Drosophila melanogaster: one gene and its partner. The protein of the gene in region 2 interacts with the protein of the main gene of each other region in a pairwise test. Each region holds a gene or a part of one and is shown on either strand. Other genes may lie near its edges. The genes, in order: fd96Ca and CG4956.

What was found.
Region 1: the proteins of CG4956 (region 2) and fd96Ca interact in a two-hybrid assay, tested with the Drosophila melanogaster proteins (one large-scale study listed by BioGRID).

What each region holds. Positions count from the first base shown.
Region 1 is NT_033777.3:25,080,866-25,085,503, reverse strand, and holds fd96Ca (forkhead domain 96Ca), read right to left. Parts: upstream 2,821-4,638; 5' UTR 1,953-2,820; coding exon 834-1,952; 3' UTR 626-833; downstream 1-625. UniProt on the Drosophila melanogaster protein: Involved in development during embryogenesis.
Region 2 is NT_033777.3:25,776,537-25,779,910, reverse strand, and holds CG4956 (uncharacterized protein), read left to right. Parts: upstream 1-1,605; 5' UTR 1,606-1,681; coding exon 1,682-2,590; 3' UTR 2,591-2,643; downstream 2,644-3,374. Other genes in the region: CG17195 (uncharacterized protein), read left to right, coding at 2,730-3,374.

The DNA of each region.
Region 1 (4,638 bases), 700 kb from region 2:
AGAAAAATTTCGTTTTATGTTTCGATTAAAATATAACCAAATCTTAAATGATGTTACTTCCTTTTTAAAAGACAGAAAAATATATAACACTTACTTTTGTAACAAGAAGAACCCCGTTTTTTGAATAAGGACATTGCTAAAAACTTTCTAAAGATTTGGAATATTTCCAAAATATTTATAATCTCAATGGCTTTTGTGAAAAACTACAGATTTAACCAAAGAAGCTTAAGCCTGTTTGAAAAGACACGATTTTCGAAATTTAATAAAAAAAATTGTGATATTCTAGAATTCAATTAAGAACCGCTTTTATAAAATATAAAATCGTTTTAATGTGATTATAATTGAATAAGTCAAACAAACTCGAAGCCATAACTGAAATACTTTTTGGGGCTAAAAATGTATATAGACTGGATTTCATTTATAAAGCTGGGTGAAGATCTTAAAGTTGAAAAAAAAGCTAGATAACTAAACTTTACTTACGTTCACTACATTTCACTGTTTCCGCTCGATTTTTCTAAACACTTCTTTAAGTTGTTTAAATGTTTATATTCTTCACAAAAGGATCGATCTATGCACTAGGTTCGATAAAAATAAAATAAATAATTTACTAATACGGATATGTGATACAAGCTAATAAAATTGTATTTACAAGCCTTTCTACGCCTATGAATGTATACCATATGTTTTGGTCCTATTACAATTAATCTTAATACAAAAGGAACTACGTTTGGATGGATATACATACATAAATATACATATACATATATCGTTCATAAATAATGCTATATAGTACATAGGTGTGTTTCGTTACTACCCTGCTTGTTGCCACTTATCTATATCGTACGCATATCGTTGTCTATTCTATTCTGCACCTCGGGGCTCCGATATTGCTGCGCCGGAGCGACGAGGGTAACATTATTGTAGTATATGTTGTGCATGTTGGCAATGGGCGCCGCCATCATGAAGAGCGGATGCGAGATGGCCAGCTCGTAGGTGGTGGGGCTATTGGGTATTCCCGACGCTGGCAGTCCGGCCACATTGGCACCCGTGGCATAGTGCAGAAACGGCACGTGGGCACCGGCGTTGATCGTGTGCATCGGCGGCAGGGGATCCTCCGTTCGGCTCGATCGGCTGGCGGACATATACTCCTCGGAGGCGGCGGGCGTTGTGGGATAGCGGCTGATACCGCTGCACTCGACCACATCGATATCGACGCGGTCATCCTCGTCGTCCTCGTCCTCCGACGGATGTTCCGGCTTGTCGGGCGTGATCAGGCTCTCTATCGTGAAGGATCGCTTGGGTCGCAGGCTCAGCGGTCCCTCGATCTCGGAACTGGTTAGCGCGGGCAGATTGGTCAGTCCCATGTCCGCCAGATTCGTGTGATCCGCACCGGACATGGAGGCGGGCATTACGTGCGGCAGTGGCACACCTGGACCCAGGGAGTTTGGCATGTGCGCCGTGCTCCTGGGCAGTGGATCCAGTCTCATGGCGGCCGCATTGTTCATATCCAGCGGCGACATGTGCGCTGCACTGCCTCCGTTACGGGTGGTAAAGAAGAATCTATTGAGGTTCGCCAGGGCAGTCAGCTCCTCGTTGAGCAGATCCTTGTCGTTCTTGTGCAGCTTGAAGCGCTTCCTCCGCCGGAGCAGGCTGCCGTTTTCGAACATATCAAAGGCCTGCGGATGCAGTGCCCAGTAGGCTCCCTTGCCGGGTCTATCCGGCCGTCGGGGCACCTTGATGAAGCAATCGTTGAAGCTGAGATTGTGCCTCAGCGAATTTTGCCAGCGCTGGGTGTTCTTGCGGTAGTACGGAAATCGGTCCGTGATAAACTTGTAGATATCGCTGAGCGGCAACATTTTCTCCGGCGAACTCCAGATGGCCATGGCCGTTAGCGAAATGTACGAATAGGGGGGCTTCTGTTCGCCGTAGGATTCTCGCGAGGGCCGGGGCATTATTACACAATGTTTTCGGCTCAATTTGTTCCGCACATCACAGTGTTACATATTTGCAGGCTAACTTGATTTATGAATGCACTCAAGCACTTGCTAATCACTCGTATTATTTTCGTCCGTCAAACGTATGAATATCCTAAACGCATGCGGCGCAATGAGGAGCAATGCCGCGTGCCGTCGCAGGAACATAAGCGGGAGCAGCTAGTGGATTTGCTAGCGAGGAACATCCATTTGGGGCACGGTGGCGATGCGGCATGGCGATGTGTGATATGGACGAGATAGCGACAAGAAGCGACGGCAAACAAGATCGCGCCAACTGTCGGCAATAAACTCTGCGCAAGAACTACGCTCGTTATAAGCTCCGGCGACGACACTGGCTTCGCCACCACCACTACCACTGGAGCAGCTCAGCTCTGCTCTGCCACTGGCACTGGCACTGGCACTCTGGAAGGAAAAGCACTCTCACTGAGGTTTCCCCATCCGACTGTGCGCCCTGCCGCCCTCCAACTGCCGCCCTCCGCCTGCCTGGCAAATTACCATCAAAAGCTGAATGCGAATACGTGAGCGGCGGTGGTGATGGTGGTGGTGGGCTATAAAGCTGGAGCGGACTTGGGGCGAACTTGGGGCGAAGATAGCGATAGAGCGGGAACAAAACAAACGACAACAAACGAAGAACACGGCACACAAAAAATTACTGTTTCAGCAGACTGGCAGACGACGTGCCGGTTATTGTACTAAGTGAGCAATGCCGTCCCCAGTTCTCCAGCTCTGCAGTTCTGCAGTTCTGCAGTCCTCCAGTTTTGCAGTCGTCCAGGTCTGCAGTCCTCCGCGGTCCGTACGTACAACCAACCACAGTGAGCAATGCAATCAAAATATAATCACTCACATCATTGCCCCCGTGCTCTCTCCCAATCACCGCGATGCGAACATGCATCATCCCTCCGCCACGGCGAAACTTCAAAGCGGCGAGGAGAGCCAAAGCAAAGAGTCTGAGATTTACTAAACGAATAAACCAGTCTGACCAGACCGCACTGCGCCGCTCCAGCGGAGAGCTCCTGCCCCTGCACCACCCCTATCCCTGACCCGCCGGTGGTTGCGGCTAGGCGGTACACTGGCCGAAAAACCCATACCCCTATTCGAAGTTTAAACGAGCGAATGAGTTCGACAATCCCTTAGATCTACGAGTGCTGCATCATATATTCTTAATAAAGGTATGAGTCCTGCTATCTAAATACTTATGCTATGAGGCCTATAACATATTGATTGCTATACTGATAAAGGTCAGAACTTTTTAAAGGATTTTCTTTTTTCGAATTATTTATTTATTATTTATACCTTCCTTATATGGGGATCATATAATTCGGACTTCACGTGCAAGGTTCATCTAAAAGATTGGTGGTTAGGCTTTCCCAAATCAGAAATCCATTATAATAATAAATCAAATACAAATCTATTATTGTGCTAGTTAAACTTTTGACTGTTTTATTGCTTAAGTTTATTACTACCAGTACCATAAATAAGATGTTGTAAAAAGTAAGCTTTTTCTGCATGCAACTAGCCGCTGTTTGTAATTGAAGTTATTAACATAGGAATAAATTTTCAAAAGCTTTCTTGCATGCACTTCAATGAAAGCGCACACGATTTCTCGCCGTGTACGAGGGGAGTATCTCGTCGGTTTTATTTAGCTTTGCCTTTGGTATTACCGCTGCCGCTGCCTCAGCGCTGGTGCTGCTCCTGCTGCTGCTGCTGCTGCTCCGGACAAAAGAGCAGCCGCCCCGGCAGCTGGTTCTGGCCATGGCTGGGACTGGGACTGGAAGTGGGTATGGGTATGGGACTGGGACTCTGGCCAGGCCGCGACTGGCTAACGGCCCAATGCGAGAGAGGTGTTGAAAAAGAAAATTACAACCACTTTACCGATTTACTGATTTTACGTTTTCATAATCTTGTTAGTTAATTTGCCTGCTTGCGACTCGGCCATGATTCCACAGAACGTAAAAGCCAAAGCACATTGCCACCGCATTCAGCGAACGTGTGGGTTTGGGCCTGTATTTTGTATTTGGTATTTTGTGTTTTGTATTTAGTGTTTTCTGTGTTTCGGTGTGGGCATCAGTATGGGTATGGGTATGGGCATGGGTATGGGCCATCAGTGGATTATGGAGCTCATGGGGCTGATGGGGCAGCAGCGCGATTTGGCGAGACTCGATTTAACACTAGGATGGATAATTGTCTTTAATAGTGCGCCCGATAGAGCAGCAAATCGCAATCCCGCGGATGGGTGTATTAAATCGCATTAGCTATTAATGAGTCTGCATTCTTCCTGTTCTTCACCAAGTGTAAATTAATGATATCTGACTAACACGAAGGCAAATGAGTAGTTAAGCAGTGGCAAATAGCTGCTCAGTGGTATAATTGAATTTTAATCACATGAACTATTGGCCTGCTTTTTGTTGCCAGTTCTGAGGAATAGCGAAGATGGGCTCAGAAATTAGCATAAAGTACACATAATACTATTATTATAACTATCTTCATTTATTGTTAGATAGAAAGTGTTCCATATATTTGTAATAATTTCAAAAAACCCAGAATAGCACACCCATGCCAATTAATATCTTTAAAAATGGATAATAAAATGTGAAAAAAATATATTTCCAACAACGCACGCCCTAGTTAATTATGAATTTATTTA
Region 2 (3,374 bases):
TAATTCCTCTGAGTATAAAGTGAATGGGAGCACTAGTATATTATTCAGTACAATCATAGTCATTTTTTTTAGCTAAACAATATTTTAATTGCAACGTCATAAAAAATATACTCAACATTGTTCATACCACGCGGTATTTCCCCGTCGATTATATGTGGATAGACACACTTTCATCTGGCTTTTCACGCAGGTGCTTTCCTGGCTTGAGACACGCACATATCTAATTTTACACATTTTCCAAACTCAATTACATTCCAAGAAGTCGCGCCGTGAGATCTGGCAGATATGGGCTAATGGGGGAAAGTTATGTGGGTTGCCCCTACCAGGTAATTGCTTGCAAATTACACAGTAATACTCCCGACCTTCCCAGGGAAATAAAAACGAGGGGAGACAAAATGTGCAAACTCCTAACTGCGAAAAACTTTGCGGCACAGCTGTCTGTAGTTGAGAGTCTCCGCTCGTAATGAAATCAAACAAAGACACCGAATGCGAGCTGACTGCCATGGGGGCAAAGCATCTTAAATTAGCAGCAAAACTCGGCAATTATGCGAGAACTTGGCCAAAAGCAGTTGCCAACTCCGCAAGCCATTCTCATTTTTTGTATGCCCCTCCACCTACACCAAGCAAATGCTAATGACTCGTAGTGCCCACAGAAAGTCAAAGAAAGAGCTAAGCGAAAGTGGGGGAAAGTCAAGCCACAGGTTGACTGACAAACACATCGACGGCGCCGAGTGGCTGCCGGAAATGGCTGCGTCGAATAGCAGCACAAAATGGCTGTTTGTTTGCTTCCGGTCTAGGCCAAAGACGGCAAACACATTTAGCCACGAAGTGAGGAAAGTCCCGCCCCGCCCCATCGTACATATTTTATGCAAACGAAAAGCAAACTGCCACTCTACTTTACGGCAAAAAGAAAAACCACCTCAATAGGTGTGCCATACACCTCAGTGAACTTAAAATGAAAAACCGCGTCCTCACCAGCTTTCCCACCCGACCAGGCCACATTCAAAATGCTTAGTTCATATTAATAATTCATAAAAATTTATGCGAAATAGACAACATTCGTTCCTGCGGTCTAAACCTGGCCGACAGCTGCCATTTTGCGGTCGCTGGGCTGATGAAGTCGACTTAACCCAGCTGTTTCCTACATGTATTTGATATGCATTCCTCGTTGTTTTTATTCTGCTCTTTGTTTATACAACATACAGCTGCTGCAAAATACCATATTTTGCCATGCTGATGCCCTTTTTCCCTCCATTGTTTTTTTTATTTCAATTTATTTTCTGCTTATAAGCTTGCTTTATAAGCAAGGTTTTGCCTATACTGCTTTGAAAATGAAGTAAAAATTTGAGAAACTTTTAGGTGAAAACATTCCATAAGCCAAATCTTTTGAATTGTAGAATTCACTTAGAAGCGCCACTTAAATAAAAATTTTCTGCCTTCACAAATGACGCCAGCAATTATAAAACGTAATTTCGCAATAATCCGCTTAAAAAGGAAAAGAAATTGAATTTGAAACCACCCACCAAAGTACACATACATACAATGCCAGATTTTTACAATTCAGTGGGTGATGCGATTATGTCAGTTAGATACATATTTCCAAATCAAGGCAGTTCTGGTGCCCAAAGTCTATTAAAAATAATTTATTTGATAAATTTAACAATACGTCTGTCATTTATAAATGCTTCGATTTCGAGTTTTATTAAGATCTACTTGCGGTTGGAGTAGAAGAATGTGTTTTCGAGCCGAGGAAGGGTTTCATCGTCACTTTCAACTACATCGCATAAAAGTTATGGGCCTACTTCATCCGTTTTGTGCAATATTTTTACTCTGTCTGATTGGATTGCTGTTTGTCTATGAATTATGCTACGTTTTGCCGCAAATAACTGATCCCCATGGTATATGGCACAAATTGTGTTGGTTTATGGGAATTTATACAGTCATCAATATATTGGGCAACTGGTGGCTCGGCTGTATGACCAATACCTCAGTCGATAGCTTAGTTCTGGAAAGACAGTATCCTGTGGCAGGTGAGGCTCACCTGTGGCACTACTGCTCCACATGCCAAAAGCTGGTGCCACCGAGGTCCTGGCACTGTAGTTTGTGCAACATTTGCATTCTGAAGCGGGATCACCACTGCACCTTCTTTGCCAGTTGCATTGGCCATAAAAATCAGAGGTATTTCCTTGCCTTCTTGTTTCACCTGAGCTTTGGCAGCGGACAGGCGCTCGTCTACAATGGCATTTTGAATTGGACAAACAAGGCCTTTTTGGTCGTCGATCCTTTGTTGCTAATGTTCCAGGATACAACCCAAGATGCTGATTTCAAATGGAAGTACACAATCGCCAACCTTTTCAAACTGAATTTATTTCTTTTTGGCGTCCCCCTCTTCATGTTCGTCTTTCAAATGATAATGGTATATCGGAATAGTACATGCTATAAGATGCTCGATCGCAGCTATGATGTTGGTTGGAGAAGAAATTTTGATATGGTCTTGGGAAAACGGCGCTTCTGGATTTTTTTCTCTCCAACGATCTCAAGTCCTCTTCCTACCGATGGCACTCAGTGGTTCCAGAAGCAGACAGTGTAAATTTTGTTTGTAAAAACTTTGAATATAAGATAGCGAATAAATTCTATTATAATATGTCGGGTTGGCGTTTCTTCTTCTGTGATGTAAATGTTTCTATTTAGTCTATAATTTACAACAGAAGTTTTCAAAATCCTAAAAAATGTGCTACGTGAATAGATTTTGCCATTACTTTGCCAATCGCTACCCGAAGAACTTTGTGAGGATAGTGCATCCACTTTCGATAGTTTTCGTCCTGTGCAGCACAGCTTTCTTCTTCTCACTGCAGATGTTTTACATTGCGCCCAAAGTGTTTGGCGACATTGCTTACAAGCTCTACTGGATATTGGTCACCTTCATAACGCACAACATACTTGGTAACATGCTGGCCTGCTATATGACTAGCTCATCGGTAAACACCTTGTCCAAGGACTCCCGATGCCCGAATCCAGAGGATGAGCCCCTGTGGCACTATTGCGAATCGTGTAAAAAGCTGAGATCGCCACGATCCTGGCACTGCGTTTTGTGCAACACCTGCATTTTGAGACGGGACCACCACTGTATATTCACGGGCACTTGCATTGGACACAATAATCAACGCTTTTTCTTCTGGTTCACATTTTATTTAACGCTCGGCTTAGTCACAAGCTTTGCAACATTTTGTATGTTTATCCTGCAGAATGGCGGTAACTTCATGAGTCTCTCGTCTGTGATTTTTAATTTAATAACTAGGACTTTTTTCCAAAATTATACTGGCAATACTTTTGAGACCATTGCCTTCCTCTTGAATATAAGCGCCAGCTATATG